Rattus norvegicus: one gene and its partner. The protein of the gene in region 2 interacts with the protein of the main gene of each other region in a pairwise test. Links are inferred from orthologs where the notes say so. Each region holds a gene or a part of one and is shown on either strand. Other genes may lie near its edges. The genes, in order: Fam13c and Ccdc172.

Region 1 (9,413 bases), on a different chromosome or scaffold from region 2:
ACAGAGAGCCTGGTGAATCTGTCTACACAAGTATATACACAAATACACTTGCCAACTGATTTAATTAAACTTCTTCTCAATTCAAATGGTATGTTTGGACAAGAAATTACCAGTTGTAGTCATCCTCTAGAGGAACAGAACCTATAGATTAGTGTACATTCTCTCTCTCTCTCTCTCTCTCTATATATATATATATATATATACATATATAATATATAGTATATGACATATTTAATACATAATACTATAATGCTATAATTTAATATATAATTCTATATACATATATACATACGCATATACACTAAACATATGTATACATATACGCATCTACACATACATATACATATATGTATACTATATTATATATGTATATCATACATTTATGCATGTGTGTATATGTTTATATATACACATATATACACATATGTATATACATATTTTATATGTATATGTATATATGCACAGTATATAATATACACAATTACATATTATATTATACAATGTACATGTATTATATAATATGCATAGATGTATATTGTATATTTATATTTTATATATGTTCATATATAAACATAAATGTATATGTATATGCACATATATTTATATATACATACACACACATATATAAACGAGATTTATTAAGACAGTTTACAGGTTATCTATATTCCAACAAAGGCTTGTCTACAAATTGAAGGTCTACGAATTCAATAGTTCTTTCAGTCCACAAGGCTGGATGTCTCAGCTGGTTTTCACTGTGCTCCACAATCCTGAAGAAATAGACTGTAACGGCAGTGAAAGGGTGAACTTGCCAGCAAGATTGAGAGCCAGAAGCCAGAGAGCAAGCTTCCTTCTCCCATGTCCCCTAGATAAGGCTGTCAGCAGGAGGCGTGCCCCAGATTAGAAGTGTGTCTTCCCACCTCCAAGGATCTGGATTAAAGCCGTGTATCTGCATCTCAAATGATTTAAATCTGGGCCGGGTGTAGTGGCACACATTTTTAGTCCCGGAATTTGAGAGGCAAAGGGGGGTGGTAGATCTGTGAGCTCGAGACTAGACTCAAGTGTTTCAGGGATCCTCTGGGAGCATGCCTACCTTTCATCTCCCCCTTAGCACAGGGGAATCTGGACTGGCCCTAATGGGCACTAAGGACCTAAATTAGGAGGGACGGGGAGGAGGTCACACCGAGAATCAGGCTCAGAGCTGGCCTGCGGGGGTGGGGTGGGGTGGGGGGGACCCTGCAGCAGGCTTTGCTTTCATTTTGATTTTGTCCAAAGCACAGTTATGTAATATTTTAGAAAGCAGAACAGCCATTCCTAACTCTGTATATTGGAGTTACTGTGTAATCTCTTTGGTTTCTCCTATGAATGTATGCATGCATGCATGTATGTATGCATGCATGCATGTATGTGTGTACATACGTACACATGTATGCATCTATCTATCTATCTATCTATCTATCTATCTATCTATCTATCTATCCATCCATCTCTCCCTCCTTTCTTTTTTCTTCTCTTTTCTTCCTTTTTGTTTTAGGGTTTTATTACATATACTTGTATGTATGTGTGCTTGCACGCATGATGTCAGGACACATGTGAGAATGACTTTGATTTGGATTTGGTTTCCTTCTCCAGCCATGTGGGTGCCAGCGGTTGAACTCAGCTCCCTCAGCCTTGACCTTTGCCCACCGATGCAGCCATCTTCTCCCTGGCCTGGAGTATCACTCCCGTGCTGTGAACTTTGTGCTTTCTGCCGGGCACGCTCTGCGCACTGTGCATGCTGAAATGGCCTCGAGTTGGAGACTGACTCCTCCTCCCTCTTCTTCCTCTCTTCCTACCTGGCAGATAGTTCTGTTAACCCCCTTTTTCCTCACAGCCTGTATCTGGTACCCAAACTCTGATTCACCCTTAGCTTCTCTCCGCGTACCCTCCGACTCACTCAGATAACATCCAGTGAGATCCTTGTGCTGTGCTGGCCGGGACAACTCCTTCTGGAATTGTCTTCCAACACCTTTGTCGGTGGCTCTGTAATATTTTCCATCCAGGTTTTGCGCGAACAAACATGACAGTGTTTTGAAAGCTTTTCGTCTCTCCAGAAGGGAGACGCGACAGAAACAAGCCACTGACGTTATGATCCACGACAGAAACAAGCCGTTACCACTGACACTACAATCTTTTTTTTTTTTTTAAATTTTATTTTATTGTATATGAGTACACTGTAGCTGCCTTCAGACACACCAGAAGAGGGCATCAGATCCCATTACAGATGGTTGTGAGCCACCATGTGGTTGCTGGGATTTGAACTCAGGACCTCAGGAAGAGCAGCCGGTGCTCTAACCACTGAGCCACCTCTCCAGCCCGACACTACGATCTTATTTAGGAACACGGCAGCCTCGAGCTCTCTGGTCACTTCTAAGCCTGGATCTCTCATCTCGTCTCCCCAGACCCCGTGCCAGCTCATAAGGATGCACAGGGCGACGCCGACGGTACGCCGGATGACCTCCAGTCTGCAGGGACCAGCCGGCTGCTCCATCACATCACAGATGGCGACAATCCGTTGCTCTCGCCACGATGCTCCATCTTTAGCCAAAGTCAGAGGTTCAACCTGGACCCCGAGTCAGCTCCATCCCCACCCAGCAGCCAGCAGTTTATGATGTAAGGAGGCCTACGTCTTCGCTTCCTGCAGTTTCCCCCAAAGACCTTCATAGCACTACAGTGAAATTCAGCTCTGAAATAGGGCAGACGTGCCCGTGGGTTACTCCGTCAGACCGTGATAAAGCAAGGCTTCTCTCTCACTCCCGTTGGCAATACCGTTCTTTTACCGAGGTGTGGGGGGTCCCAGAGAGAGACGGTCACAAGGATCAAAAGACACGTTGGGTGCTTCGGAAAGAGTGAAGAAGCGTGTGTCTTTGCACACTTCTTTTTTTTTTTTTTTTTTTTTTTGGTTCTTTTTTTTCGGAGCTGGGGACCGAACCCAGGGCCTTGCGCTTCCTAGGCAAGCGCTCTACCGCTGAGCTAAATCCCCAGCCCTTGCACACTTCTAAAGTGTCATTCTTAGTTAGCTCAGTGTGTTTCCCAGGCCCAACAGTAGAGGGAAATATACATTGGCAAGTTTCCCCTTCAGCAGCTTGTTAGGTTCCAGAAAAGTAGTATCCCGAAATAACCACGGTCCTCCCCAGAGTCAACGGGCAGCTAGCATAGCAGTCTCCCTCTGTCCGTGCCAGACGTGACCTCCGCATCGGTCATTGAGCAGCATCCCCCTGTGTGCCCAGAAGTGTTCCCCTGCCCCCGTCTGCTTGGGGTCAGTTCTGGGATCTGTGTTGTGGTCCACTCTAGCTTTGCGCAAATACTTTTGACGCGTAGTAAAAAGGAAGACGCCCCTGGCCGAAGCCTGCTCTCTTTCCATGCCCCTAGCGCCTCTCCCGCGGCTTAACTGCCGTTGTTGAGTTTATCCAGGGATCATGGATGATGAACAGGGCGGGCAGAGTGAGTCACCGCAGTCGCATGGAAATTTGCGGGTCATGTTGAGACTGTGGAAATATTGTCTGGAGAGAGAGCCACTCCTTCTGACATATTTGAAAGGGTTTCCCTATGTCAGAATAGTTAACTACCCATTTAAGGCTTGCTTTGAAAACGCCATTAGGTGCAGCTTGCACAACCTGTTGAAGGGCGCACCTCAGCAGGGCCTCTCTTCTGAGTCCCAGGTCGGCCTCACTCTGCTTTGAAATATGCATCTCTTGTGCTGATATTTTGACGTTTGTATACAAAAGAGTCCCCAACAAGATCATCAGCCCATATTGCATGTCACAAGGTCAGAGGTCAACCCAAGGGATGACTTGGTACACTAGCCGCGTAAGGAGCTGCCGCCTGGAATTCTGTGATCTCCCAGGGTTCAGAGGTCAGGCAGCCATGCTCACTGAGACCCTTTCTGAAACTCTTTGTCCGTCTGTATAACCATGGCAGGCCACGAAGCTCTTCCCGATGCGGTGGTGGGGATGGCAAGGAGCCCCAGACCATTACGCAGCTCACTAAGCACATCCAAAGCCTCAAGAGGAAGATTCGGAAGTTTGAAGAGAAATTTGAACAAGAAAAGAAATACCGCGTAAGTACCCCAGGGTTTAACGGGAAGGCCCAGATTGTGTCTGGGAAGCATGCCGGTTTTTCTTGGGTCTCCATCCCTTGGTTGTGGCTGCTCCCTTCCTTGCTGGAGGACAGCTCTGTATCCACTGGTCACCCATACCCCACACCAAGAGCTGAGCTTAATTGAATCCGATGGCGAGTCTGTCCTGCTCTCACCTGTAGGCAGCTAACCTCTGTTAGGAGACTTCCCACTCGCTATAGCTCTTATTTCCCTGGTCTTTCTGAGCATCCTTATTGACACTATGTTTTCTTTAATTAATTAATTAGTTAGTTAATTAATTGACTTTACATGCCAATACCCCCCTCACATAGATCCTTTCCCCATTCCTCCCTTCTTTGAGAAGTGGAGCTCCCATCTGGGTATCACCCATTCACTACTCTCCCCACTTAGACCCCACCCCCTGCCCCCGGCACATCAAGTCACTGCAGGACTAGGCACATCCTCTCCCACTGAGGCCAGATGAGGCAGCCCAGTTAGGGGGACAGGATCCACAGGCAGGCAACAGATTCCAAAGGACATGCAGGACAGGAGCTTATCATAACTGCCCTCTGAGATGCTCTACCAAGCAGCCAATGGAAAGCGATGCAGAGACCCCACAGTAGATGGGATCTTGTGGAAGAGTTGGGGGGAGGATTAAGGGACCCCACGAGGACAGGGATTCCGAAGGAAGACCAACAGAGTCAACTAACTAGGTTTTCTAGATCGAAAATTTGGAGAGCTTCCTGTTGCACTTCCTTCACCCCTGTGCTGATAAGAACTTTGGGACCCAAAACATGTTCTTCCTCGTAACTGAAGAATATAGTGATGGAGAATTTTGGGTTCTGTATGTTGGTTTTTTGTTTTTTTTTTGTTGTTGTTGTTTTGTTTTTGTTTTTGTTTTTGTTTGTTTGTTTTTGCCATGAAGGGACTTCACGGTGGGTGAGTGGTGACTTCTCAGGTGCTACCTGCCGAGGCCACTCACTAAAACCAAACAGAACCATCTTTCTCCAGCAGACCCCAGTCCTTCTGTGGGGCCAGCAGGGTTACCAGCATGGCTTTGTCTTCCCTCACACACGAAACCGCAGAATCACAGAGAAGTGTCTGTTTGACCAAAGGAGCCTATGTTTGCTTTCTTGGTGACCAAAGAGTAGAAAAAAAATTCAAGTTCACAGGGAGTTGCATAAAGACAGTGTGGGTCTCTGGCAGACAGCCCAGAACAGCTTGTTATTAGAATAAAACAGAGCAGGGAGCAATCTCTCAAACATCTTGAAATATTGAAAGGCTCCCTAAGCACTCGGTACAGAGGCAATCGGAAGGTGTCTGTGAGCGCGTGGTAAGTTTTGCAGCAGAGCGATGAGTGGGTAGTGGTCTGTTCCTCCCTTCCTGTCCTGCGTGGCTATGGCTTTGAAGAGAGAGTTTAGGGAGGGGCATCTAGTTTTATAGGAAGGGCGCCATCAGACTGACTTTTACGGCTGTCTGAACCAGGATGCTGCATGGTTTCCACTGAGCAGTCATGACTACTCTCTGTTCACGCAACAGGGTTGCCTCTGCCTACCGTCTCGGTCTTTATCCCGCAGATAAATAAGCCCCGATCCACTGAAGACTTCTAACTAGCTGTGAGCTATCTTTTGAGGCTTGGAGCAGTAAGTTAACAGAGAACAGACCTGAGTGGTGGTGTCGTAGGGTTCTTAGTGTCTATCTTGGGTAGCCCAGTGTTCTGGTAGGAGCTGGTTTCACCTTTGGTCTACTAGAGTTTACCAGACCACCATGATGGACAGCTCTGAGTGACAATGGGGAGTGACAATGGGGGTTCTATTTCGAGCTCGTTAACACCTCTGCCTTTCCTGAGTCTGACTGTTTTAGATTGTAATCCAACACAAAGCCCTGGCAGCCTCCTGTGTCTGCACACGCTACTTCCTATTCTGAGTCATACAGCAGTAACTGAAATTTGAGGACACTCTTGAAGGAACCAGTGTGACCCTTACAACCCTGCAGTGTTGGCTATGAAGGGAGCAAAAGGTCCTAGGTATCACCAACCTTTTAATCTGTCTGAGCAATACAAGCAGGCCACATGATGGGCTCTGTCTTGGGAGGAAAGGAAGGGGACCTGTGCACGTTAAATATGTACTGGGTCCCCACCTGTGCTGTGCACATGCATTATTTTTTTCTAAATCTTATGGCCACTGATGGTTGTCTGTCTTACTTAGGGAATTTCTCTTGGCATCTTTTACCCTGCCTTGAGAAGCTTCAAAGGCAATGAAAAGACAATCGGTCCCGTCACTCCCTGCCTCCTAAACGCATCCACACATGTACCCGCCCCCACACACATGCACCTACATGCACCTGCCCACATGCCCACATACACACGCATGCACGCACCTATCCATGCATACACGCATGCACACAGGCATGCACGAACAGAGGACAGGTATAGATGCTAGAGCAGTAGGCAGGGAGGGTTGATAATTCACTACATTAGTGTTTACCTTCCCCCCCCCACTTCAGTCAGCACCTTATATATCCTAGGAAATGGCATCTGGTTGTGCCTCTTGTCAGGTGCCAAGCTGTGGTCAGAAGCCTGGCAAGCCACCTGCCTGCTTTCCTTCTCATCCGTCGGACAGTGGTGTTACCAGCCTGCTGGTTGTTTCTGAACCTTAGCTCCTGCTGGGCATCTCGGCTTTTGGGATGTCTACATAAACACGTCTTTCTGTCTCTGCCAAATGTAGCCCTGGTTAGAAAGGGCAGTTCATCCAGATGTTCACTATGTTCTCTCTCTCTCTCTGTCTCTCTCTGTCTCTCTCTGTCTGTCTGTCTGTCTGTCTCTCTCTCTCTCTCTCTCTCTCTCTGTCTCTGTCTCTGTCTCTCTCTCTCTCTGTCTCTCTCTCTCTCTGTCTCTCTCTCTCTCTGTCTCTGTCTCTCACTTGGTTTTTCAAGACAGGATTTCTCTGTGTAGCCCTGGCTGTCCTAGAACTTGATTTGTAGAGCTGGCTAGCCTTGAACTCACAGAGATCCACCTGCCTCTGCCTCCTGAGGGGCTCAGATGTTCACTATTAATAGAACACCTTCGGGGTTGGGGATTTAGCTCAGTGGTAGAGCGCTTGCCTGGGAAGCGCAAGGCCCTGGGTTCGGTCCCCAGCTCCGAGAAAAAAAAAAAAAAAAAAAAGAACATGTTTAAACTGGGCAGAGCCAGCCAGACTTTTTCTTACCCAGTGACTGAAGAAACAGGCCCAGAGAGGTGACATGAATTTAAAGAGTCACACAGCCAAGAACCTAGTTAGGACAACTCAGGTCTTTTCATGGTCGACCAGAAGTCTTTCTAAAGTGTCTTATGAATGACCTTTCTTTGTAGGAATCTCCCACAACAGTATCTGCAACAGTAACCTGGTGGCCTCACTTTAATCACCCCTAACAAAGCCTGTAGTTGTGAGTTTGGGTGTCTGACCATAGATAGACATTTCCATTCAGGCACAAAGAGGCCTAAAAAAGCCGTTATGAATGTGTGGAAACTTCGGCGGCTTGGGCGCCATCTTCTACGCAACCTGAAGTTAACCTTAAGAGAGCTTCCCCAAGGGCAGAACCATCAAAAGAAAATTCATTTCTGCAACTGATTTCGGGCTTTCAAGTACTTTGCCATAAAATCCAGCTTCCGAGTCCTCCTCCACCCTGCGGATAGCAAAACACTTACTACCCTGTTGGTCACTGGCTTGAGCTCCTAGTGTGTTTTGTGTGTTTGGTGTATTCCTTTGGTGGTGTGTCGGGTAGATCCAGTGAGCTTCCCTTTTACCTGCGTACACACGTCCTTAGTCTGGAGAATCCTCTGAGGGTTCTAGAGTCCAAATGTAAAACTCGGGCTGTCAATATGTCTAGACAGCTAAGCCCAAAGAATTAGGCTTACACACCAGGGTTCTAAGCATAAGGCTTCCTTCCGGAGACCCTAAGTGGGATTCCATTAAGCAATGTCGTGTCCCATGTCGTCCCCCTCCTTCACTCCCCATGACCAAAGCTTTGGGCAGCCCGTGTCTCTGTCCATGGTTCTGGCAGTCTCGGGCTCCATCACGGGAGGGGCAGTGACTTTTCCTTCAGTCTTCCTTTCCACCTTGTTTTTCGATGTATGTTTCTGTGTCACCCCATAACTGACGGGATCATTCGCGGTGAACACAAACTCTTGTGTATCAGATGATGTCATGCAAAGCTTTTGTGTGTGCCTTTGTTAAGTACCCTGAATGTGCTCTGCCATCATCCTGCGTCTCTCACTGAAGACATCGCTCTGGTCGCACATCTTATGGGGGGAAGTGGGTCTTCACGGAGTGGCTATTAACAGTGCAGGCACAGGTACCTCTGTGAAAGAGGCCTCCCAGCCCTCCCAGCCAAGTTCCTAGGGTCGTCTCAGGTGGGGGTAACTCTCTTGAGCCTGCTTTTAAGTTAGCATGGTAGCTTTGGATGGAGATTTACATTATGATCTGTGGCATAGAGGGAAAGGGTATGTTGCCATATTTATTCATTCATTCATTCTTCATTCACTTTACATCCCACTCACTGCCCCCTTCCTGGTCACCCCTTCCCATAATCCTCTCCCCAACCCTCCCCTTCTCCTCTGAGAGGGTGGACCCTCGTAGGTATCCCTCCACCCTGGCGCATCCTCTCCCACTGAGGCCAGACAAAGCAGCCCGACTAGGAGAACATATCCCATGGATAGGCAACAGCTTTTGGGACAGCCCCTGCTACAGTTGTTTGGGACCCACATGAAGACCAAGCTGCACATCTGCTACATATGTCCAGCCCATGTATGCTTTTGGTTCATGGTTCAGTCTCTGAGAGCACCAAGGGCTAGGCTCACAACCAAAAATATTTTGCCAGTTTTAATTGACTGATTTCTCTTTTCTGGGGACAGTTCACTTTTGTGCTGAGAAGGAATTTGGAAGTGAATGATCTGACTGGCAGAGTCACACATCTCCCTCCATGTGTGTGAGTGTCAGTGAAGACACATGCAGAATTCCTTTGAGGGTTTGGCGGGAATATTCCTGTTACCACCTGTGCTGCTAGTGAGGATAAGCCGGTAACAGTAACATTTACCGTCTGACCTATCACTTCTGCATTGTTCAGCATGCACCCAGAGCTGCTTTCAGTGTTTCATAGATATTAATCCACCACAGGAACTCTGTGAGGGAGACACTGTAATCCTCGCATGTTTAATATGTGAGACGGCAGAGCGTGGAAAAGCTCAATCATCTGCCCAAGGTCAGATGTGTAAATTTCAGTTTCACGCCAGCTCAGTACCTTGGTACCAATAGTGATTAGA
Region 2 (9,908 bases):
GAGGAGCTGGACTCCTCTCACCTAAGATGACTGGCGTTCCTCAAACAAGGAAGGAGGAAAGAGAAACACACGGGGGATTGGGAGGATTCCAAACGGTCATGGAGAAATAAGAGATCCATGTCCCAAAAGTCCCAAGCAAAGACCAGAGGCTGGGAAGAGGCAACCAAGAAATTCCCTTGAGAGCACTGGAGGGAAGCAACCGGGCCAGCACCTCCGTTCCGATCTGAAGCCTCCTGGGCTGTGGTAGAACACAGTTCTCTTGTCTTGAACCCCTGAGCATGGTGCTGTTACAGCATAATAGACATATGGAGAAACTAATGCAGCACCCACATTAGTCTAGCTTCACACATCAAGTACACTGTTGAGGTTTGGTCTGTTGCTATGTATCGTAATACTAAATACTGGCCAGGGAGGAGGAGGAGGTTCTCACATAGGCGCAGTGATGCTGTGTGTTATCTCTGATGGGTGATAAAAGTGCCTACAGCCTATAGCTGGGCAGAAGAGAGATAGGCAGAGTTTCGGTTCCCAAACTTGGGGTCTGAGATTAAGTAGTTACAGCAACAATACACAGAGGGTTAAATATGTTTCTGAAGACATGGCCCATTAACACTTTTTTTTTTCCTCTGAGACCGAGTCTACCTCTGTAACCCCAGCTGACCTCAGACTCACAGAGATCTGCCTGGCTCTGCCTCCTGAGTGCTAGGATTAAAGGCATGCACCACCAACTTCAACTCACGGCTACATTTCTTTCATTCGCATTTTATTTAAATTCATATTAAAATATGAGATATATACCTGCGATTGCTTTTATAGATTTGGATTGGCAGTAAGCAATTTTTTTTTTTTGGAGGTATCTAAATGTAACAGATGCTGAAGACATCTTACCTCCCATCTGGAGGTTTCAGAGACTGAAGAAGCTCACATGTCCTGATTGTGTTCCTTCCCTCCGGCTCCCATACTGTGGACAAGCTACCCAGCTCTCTAAGCTCTGTTCTCATCAGGTGGCTGGGTTGATTATGAAGGTTCATTCATTGGTGACGCCCACAGGTTCGGCACACAGTGAGCGTGAGTTGATTACAGTGGTTGGCACCCAATGAGGATCCTGGTATGGGCGTGTCCATCTCTCCACTTGTCTGACTCTAACTCAGAAGCTGATGCTACTACATGTGCAGCTTGATGAGCCAATTAGACAAGGGGGGCGGGGCTGGCCTGATTGAAATTTGTGTTCCTATAAAAAATGCCACGCAGCTCTAACAAGTCTTTCCTAGTTTCTGAGAGTTCACTAGGTGTCTGTGAACTAGGAAACAGGCCAATCCTGAGTGCTCAGACACCATCATGTTGGATTTCACTGCTTCCTAATGGTGAGGAATACATTTCCAATGTAAGTGACCCAGCTTGTGTCATGTGGTGATGGTGGCCCAAATGGACTAAGACAGTGCACTACTCAATATTCAAGCCAGTAGTCCCATTCCCTTACTGCTTCTAACCCAGTGGAGTCAACTTATTCTGCACATCAATGTGGACGTTCCACTCACACATTGGAAGCACTGAATAACCTATATGGACTCGTGAAAATGCAAAACACCTAATGCTGGTCCCATATGTCTTTCTGCCTTTCCCTTTTCTTTTCTACTAAACTTTCTCCCTTTCTTTTTTCTCTATTGGCAACTCTCCCTAGATTGCCTGTACCAGACATATCACCTCTCCTCTACCATGTTTTGAAAGTGGAGGTGTGAAAAATATTACCTAGAGCCTTATTCTCAAGCTAACCCCTACCCCATTTGACTGACGGTGACCTTCCAAGGAGAGGAGAGCAGGCATCTTTCCAACTTTGTAGCCTTCTTAATACCCAGGGGAAAACTCTAGACTTAGTAGACACTCAATGAATGGTAATTCAACTTAGTTAAACCCATAATTTTTTCTTTATGGTAGATGCCCTCAGAAAAACATAAAATAAATGAATTACTTTTCCCTCCTTTCATCGCGACACACATGCCCCCGGCTAGTGGGTATTCTGAAGCCTGGGTTAGGAAAGTCATCAATCTAAGAAAGAGGAAGAGACGCATTTAAATCAAAGAGCAATAGAGCCCTGTATAAGGCCTCCTAGCAAAACAATCATTGATGACTGCACAGCCCAGGTGCTAAGCGATCGAGAGAAGCATCCGAGGGCAGGGACAATGAGGGATCCTCACTCGTGTTCCAAAGGTAGGCAATTCACTGAAATGTGCACAGATGGGAAGTTTAGGTCTGAGAATCATGTGTGGGCGTCATAATGCAAATAACTGGCTTCCTTTCTAAAGAACATCTGCCGTAGCATCTGAGAGCAATTGTTTATCCTGCTGCCAAAATGCTGTAAAATATAATAATTCTCCATTGAGGTTAGAATTATCCAGGGGGAGAAAGAACTTTTTTTTTAATGTAGCTGTTTTTATTAAATCTTGCAGTTGTTTCTCTAACATGGTGCATAGGAACTGTTCAGTAATATTTGTTGAATGAATGTTGAATGAAAAGCAGGAGCTCATTAAACAGTTGTCGGATGAATCATTTCCCATTTTTAGATTCAGAAGATACATTTTCAGAAAGTAGTATGCCCACAAAGCTTTATCATGTCATATACCATTTTTATTTGGCATAAATTTAAATAATACCACTCTTGCTCTGTACATTATGAGATGCAATCAGCATGCATTGCTATAAGAGGGGAAAAAAGTCTTAACACTATTCACAATGTATGAATAAAGTTAGATTTTAATATCTTAATTTGATGTTACTTTAATTCATTATTATGAAAACTGTAGAGTTTGAACTGTGGGCTTGCATAATTATACGCACCTCAGTAAACAAAATTAAAATTTAAAACATAGCTAATGCCTGCAGTTGTAATACCTCTAAGAAGATTCTACCAAGATTTAAAGGCACTAGAGTGCTGTGGGATGGGAAGAACTTGACAGTGATATTTCTCCCCATCACCCTCCTCTCGAATTTCCAGTGACTTTCTTCTGTGCTCCTGTGTGAGAAGGGCAGGAGGGCTTCCAATGGCTTTCAGAATCCACTCTGCCAAGTTTCAGTACAGACAGGAGCATGTTAAATAACAGAGAGAGTTTGAGTGCAACTCATAAAGCTGTAACTTGAAAAAGTATCAAGTTCTTGGAAACCTGCCTTTCTGTGAGAACAGCCCCCATGCAAGCCCACAGGAAATCACCCTGAAGGGGGCAATGCTAGTAGTCTTGTAGTCTATCTCGAAAAGCTTCTACCTTTGATGGCATTTGTGATACAGTTCAAGAACCTCCACAGGAGTGCTCAAAGAAAATGGTTCTAGGCACAATAACGGTCATTTCCCATCCTTGAGTACATGGAAGAATTTGGTTATATCTGAGCTAGACACATGCACACATGTATCAGAGGACTATAAAGGTACAAAGTACATTCATGAAGAGCTTTAAATGAAATGGCAAAAGTCCACTATGTTTGTGTTATAGTAAGAAAATAACAGCTGAATCCATGACTCTCAACTCCCATTTTCTTGGTCTCCATTTACTTTCCTGTACAAAGTATGCCTCTTCCTGAGACACAGGATTCCAATCCTGAATTGGCTACATTCTAGCCATCGTGAGTGTGGACAAGTTACTTAGCCCTTCAAGTAACAAAAAACATAGTTCTAATAGGATAACTGGCTTGATTAAAAGAACGAATACACATCAAGATTTCAGATAGTGACTCAACTAAGTAGCTCGGTGACCTCATTTTTACTGGTATATTTTGAGTCTGTCAGTCTGTCACCTTAACTATATTAGAAAAGAAATGTCAAAATCATCTTAAATAGACGTAGTGTGTTCAGAAAGTGAGTGCTTAGCAAATAAATAATAAATATTGAACTACTAATTATAATCAAAACACAAGTAACAAAATAATGTTATCATTCCTTATTCATGGGACTTCAAGGTTTTAAATAAAAAGTGCTTGTCAACAAGGGATACCCAAAAGACAGTGGGAAAATTTTCATCAGTACTAGCTTCTGAATAGCTCTGAGTAATTAATTCTTTTTAACTTTATTTCAAATTTCAGTGTGTATTCTGATAGTTCAAACATTAAACTTCATGCAGACATGACCAGATGAAAATTAAGGTAGAAATATAGAATAGATTAAAGTTTTTAACTGAATATATTGTGGCATTAGTGGGCTATTAATTAAGCCTAGTGTATGTGACAAAATTTTCATTTTACTTAATTTTAAGCACATTCAAACTTTCACATTAAAAGTTACTTCTTAAAAGTCTAGCCAGTGTCAGTTTTACATTCAGAGTAAAGTCAGATGTTTATTACAATGTCAATATTTTGACCTACCAAAACTGAAAATATTTCTTAATTAAAAAAAAAATATCATGCAAAAGTCCCAAAGGTGCCTTTCACATTTAAGCCTTAATTAGCAACCACTTTGGTCTCTGACACACATTGTACAGATATCGAAGTGTTAATATTACCAAGGCTTGATTACAAAAGGCAGTGATTAATTTCGGGGCAGACAAAAAAGATATGCTTTGATTACGAAGGAATGATTACGGTGGAATGTCAGACATTGTACATTTGTAGGAGTCTTTGCTAGCCTCCGAGGATACGACTTTGCAAAAGTTTATATTTAGAATCACGGGTACTTTGCACTTTATAATACTTGGAGACTGGGAGTCCCACCTCTAGAAAGACCCCGAACCCGTGAGCGCAGGTCGCTGCAGACTGGTCCCACCAGGCTTCCGTAGATGACTTCTCGCGAGGCCGGTGGAGGCCCCTTTGGCTGGACACACCTGAGGGGGCGTCAGTTGCCAGCCTCTGCCTGTGGGCATCTTTTCCTGGGAAAGCGAGGGGGTTGGGAAGGGGAAGCATGTCCCCAGCCAAAGTTACTGTATCTGTCCCCCAGGCCTTTTCTGTGGGGGCTGCACTCAGCACAGAAGCACGCCGGGCTGTGGGCGAACATGGAGGAGGAATGGGCCCGGCTCTGGGCGAGCATGGAGGAACAAGCCGAGAGCTCCTGCCCTGGGGCTCTGCTGGGCAAGAGTGGGTGGTGCAGGCAGGGAACAGCCAGACAACCCTCTTCATTGTGCTTTCCAGGATCCTCAGACTCCCTTATAAAATATTAAGGGTGAGCTGGCCCGAGATGAGTCTGGAGTCGTTGTTTCAGCACATCATCTTCACTGAGCATCAGGCCGAGGAGAGCCGCAGAGTGATGCGGGAAGGTGAGCCTGCCCTTAGAGGGCATTTGGCTTTTGGAGCTGGGGTTTGCTCTTGGGGGGCATTTGGCTTTTGGACCTGGGTGTTTGCCCCACAGACTGGAGGGGAAGGGGGCACTGTAAGTGGAGTTTGCAACCTGGACAGAAGACAGATGAAAACTCACCTGCCAAGTGCTGCCGTGATGGAGGCTTCAGAAAGGCGGAGGCCAGTAAAGATTTTGTTGGTATTACAGTGAGGTCAGAAATTGCCAGATGTCGCGGGAAAATTAAGAAAGCAACAGAGGATCTGAATGAAGAAAAGATCAAGTTGGAATCCAAGGTATGGATGCATAGACCATGCTAAGTATCACTTGAGGAAGTGTCTGAACTTGGCTTTGGGGAGCAATTTACTAACTACTTATCCATCAACTAGGAAACTCAGCAGCTATATTCTGTCATTCAGCGTTGTCTAGCGTGTAAGGTTCTGAGTCCACGGTCTTTGGTTTTTAACAGGAAGTGGCCCGGAGGAATCCAGACTTAACGGATTCCCCGTCCATTTTGTGGGATGGTTAATGTTTATAAGGAAAAGTGTCATTGGAAGAATAATTGTTCAATAAGTAGTCAGGGCAGCATATAAATGTCAGACAGTAAGTAATTTAAGTGTGCTCCGTGGATGTAATGGGATCGTATGTGTCTTTCAAATGATGGCTTTCTGCTTTCCAACTCACTACCACAGTTTTGGACTTGTCTCATCCTAAGTTATCTTTTCTCTCATTTCTCTCTCCGGCCGCATTTGTAAAGTTCCGCCTTTTAAAAAGTAAGGACCGAGCGAGCCTGGCTGCTTCAAGGAAGTGGTTGAACTATGGATAGAATTTTGAGGGAGAAAAGAGACTTAGTAGGAGAGACCCTTTGTAGCAAAGAGGGGGCGGTTCTTCCCCAGGCACATTGAGAGAGGACTCTGGACAGCCAGCAGAGGGCGGCGGAGTAGAGTTGGGAGGGAAACGTTGCTAGATTTGACCAGAGAGGGGCAGTAAATGTGCTGTTAGGGGAGCTCCTTGTGCTCTGAGCACAGAGATGGGGATGGACAGTGAAGATGGTGAGAGCTAGAGGCCTAGGTCTGGAAGGAGGAATCAGATGTCCAATAGTAATGTCCCAACACCTGAAGGTGAACTAAGGCAGCAGTGCATAGAGGCAGTCTAGTGACTTGATCACTCAGACTTTTTTTTTTTGTTAATACATTTTTAATTTTATCACATATTAAATATAAATTTGTATGTAAAAGGGATGTAAGTTATAAATTTATTTATACATTATATTACTCTAATAACAGCGTATATTTGTGAGGAATTTTCATTTTCCTGTGGATAAAACAATTCTTGCCCGTTCACCACCTGGTGAACGGCCTCTCTTCTCTCTGCATCCTGTCATGCATCATAAAACCCTCCCTGGACAGCTCTGTAAAATCTAAGTGTCAACATGCGCTCCTGTTTGCAGCCCCTCTTTCTTTGGGAGGAATGTACTTAGTTTTGTTTTAAATTCACCTTTATTCTCTTGGTATCTGTTGCTGAGCCAACACTGTACACAGGTGCATTCACTACTGAGGGCCAGTAACAAGAAAAGAGCTCGGTCTTGATAATTCGACAAATAAAGGTTGGGCATGTTTATGGCTTCCATGTTATTTGTTATGCATTTTGTAATGCTCAGCTCCAGATTAATATATCCGTGCCAACATTTATCCTGACTGTGGTGAAAATATTACAAATCTTCAAAGTTCGTCGTCTAGGTCATTAACTGTAGCCATCCTTCTGTGTAGTCGAATACCAGCCTTTATCCCTCCTAACTCTGAGTACCCACCAACCAACCAACCTTTCCTCTCTGCCCCTTAACTAAAAGAAACTATCTTTTAAGACAGAATGTGGGGTGAGTATTCATTGAGCCCAGCTCTTACTTCTGGACTAAAAGAGAAAGTAGGCCAGCGGCAGTGGGGAATCCTGGTGGCATGGGCAAAGGTGTACAGCACCTTCATGTAGCTGTCTTTCCCTGGAAGAAGACTTAAGATGCTTTGAAAGTTGGGTTGGCAAATAGAAGTCAACAGAAGAAAAGGAACATACACACTCATACACATGCACACACTCACCACATACCATAACCACCACACACACCACATACATACACAAGCACACATCCCCCACACACATGCACACACATATGCCACACACCACAACACACACACTACATACATGCCATACCACACATATATCACACACAACACACTACATATACACCATACTACACACATATCATATGCACATGCACACACATACCATATACAAATATACACACACATACCACATACCACATACATACACATGCAGGCGTAGACACATGTCACCCAAACACATACACACACATCACTCATACACACACATGTACACACACACATATCCCACCCCCACAGCCCACATATGTGCACACACACCCCACACATATGCACACACACATGTATACACACCACACACATACTCTACATGGGTGGTGTGGGGCGTTCAACCCCTCTCTACTCCCAGGGTCTCAGCAGCTAAGTGCCCACGTGCAGGGTATTATTCAAGGGCTGATTAACCCCTTTAGTTCTAACAGGAACTCTGAGAGGAGGAGTAATCATTCCCCATTTACAGGCAAGGAAGCTGAGACATCATTTAAATGATTTGTTCATGGTATGTAATAGAAAACCAAATAACTACCACAGTAACAATTGGTTAAGGAAAATATTACTCTATTAAAACAGATTCTTGAGCTTGCATTGAACATTTTTCCCCACGACATACAATAATATGTCTGAAGTGTTGCATCTGGGGTGATATTTTAAAGATCACTTATGTAAGTTGTATAAGGTGTGTTTTTTGGGGGTTGGTGAAGATACTGACCTGACAGGTAGGAAATGTTTCATTTTAAATGAGATGTTTAGGGGTCGGGGATTTAGCTCAGTGGTAGAGCGCTTACCTAGCAACCGCAAGGTCCTGGGTTCAGTCCCCAGCTCTGGAAAAAAAAGAAAAAAAATTAAATGAGATGTTTTTTTCTTTGTAATGTTTCCTTTGCAAGACAAATTATTATTCTGTATAATATCTTTTGTTAGCAGCCTATTTCACCTGAAAATAGAAATGTAGTGTTGATACTACACATGTATAAAGAAAATGTTGATTTAATTGTTTGTGCTAGAGAAAACATAGCAAATCTCTAATATTACTTAAAAGCATTCATGAAATTGCTAATTAATACAGGCTCATAAATGTGCATTTGTTTTTAATCAGCTCATATGCATGGGTAATAATATAATTGTATCTTACTAATAAAACTAGCATATGTGGGTCACAGTTCATACAACACTGATTTGTAATTGAGGTAATTTGATTTATAATTAGAGTCAAGATGGTACGTGTGTATTAAGATTTAAACAGAACTAAGAAGCTAAAGTAAATGAGTAATGGGAAGAGCTAAAGAAGTAATCATAAATTGATTCTCTGTTTCTTTTTCCTCAGAGTTAATTATATATCTGCCAATAACAATGAAAATATATTTACTTGGACATTTGACTTGGTGTTTATTGACCCATTTATCAAACAAGTAGCATGAGGAGACCCTAGAGCAACACGTGAGCTATTGTATACTCACATGCTCAAAAAATATTTGGGCTTACATTTAGGGAACTGCTTGAAGTCAAAAAGCGTATTTTAGGAAGTGCAGTATTCTTTCCCCCCTTGTTCTGTAGAACCTAAGTAGCTTGCAATTAGAACTTGAATGATAGCATCTGTCTTTCAGGGCTGGATGAGTCTCATGAAATATATGGGAGCAAGCAGTCTCAGATCACAGGAGTGCTTTAAGTGACGTGGACAGCTACAGTGCGCCTGGTTAAGCTTGGCCTGTGAAAAGGGAAGAGTGGGAGCTTGGTGTGGTCTGCACTGAGAATGCATGGTGAGGTCTACTCTGAAATGGGAGCATGGTGTGGTCTGCACTGAGAGTGGGAGCACAGTGTGGTCTACACTGAAATGAGAGCACAGTGTGGTCTGCGTTGAGAATGGGAGCATGGTGTAGTCTACACTGAGGCTTGCCAAGGTGCCTCAAACCTCAGTCGTCTATGTTGATGTCTGAGACTAAAATTGAGGCTTGTAAAACTATTGTAGTTTCTCAGAAGCAAGTCACTGAGTTTCTTATATGTGAAAATTGGTATGTAATTATAGTTTGAGTAGTTTTTATAAGCATCTTATATAAGCCCAGTGCTGTGCCATATTCCTGTGAGAGGGAAAGCAGGGAAGGCTTAGGCTGTATTAGCATATTTTACATATTTTCCTTTTTCAACTTATTGGATAAATGTCTTTTTTTAACTTCCTTAATTTTGCAGTTATAATTACAACAGTCCCCTTTCCCTTTCTTCCTCTGAACCATCCCATATAGTTACCCCCCAAACTCATGACCATTTTTTATTGCATGTATGTATATATATGTGTGTAGATACATTCCTAATTAGGACCTGCTCAGTCTGATTAATATTATTTTTATGTATTCAGAAATATCTGAAGAACAATAGAATAATGTTTTATGAATTTTAAAGAAAATATTTTGGAATGGAGTAGCAAAATGGCCCATTTACATTTTTTCTTAGAAATGTAGATGTTCTGCCTTCTGATTGGTGAAGTCAGAACCCTGCCTCTC

Evidence for each region.
Region 1: the proteins of Ccdc172 (region 2) and Fam13c interact in binary tests that used the Homo sapiens proteins (3 or more experiments, as listed by UniProt). The two-hybrid records come from large-scale screens. The link is inferred for Rattus norvegicus from reciprocal best matches to the Homo sapiens genes CCDC172 and FAM13C.

Annotation. Positions count from the first base shown.
Region 1 is NC_086038.1:18,082,381-18,091,793, reverse strand, and holds part of Fam13c (protein FAM13C), read left to right. Parts: intron 1-2,438; coding exon 2,439-2,649; intron 2,650-3,957; coding exon 3,958-4,096; intron 4,097-9,413.
Region 2 is NC_086019.1:267,610,584-267,620,491, forward strand, and holds the start of Ccdc172 (coiled-coil domain-containing protein 172), read left to right. Parts: upstream 1-4,780; 5' UTR 4,781-4,830; intron 4,831-5,103; 5' UTR 5,104-5,149; coding exon 5,150-5,228; intron 5,229-5,455; coding exon 5,456-5,541; intron 5,542-9,908.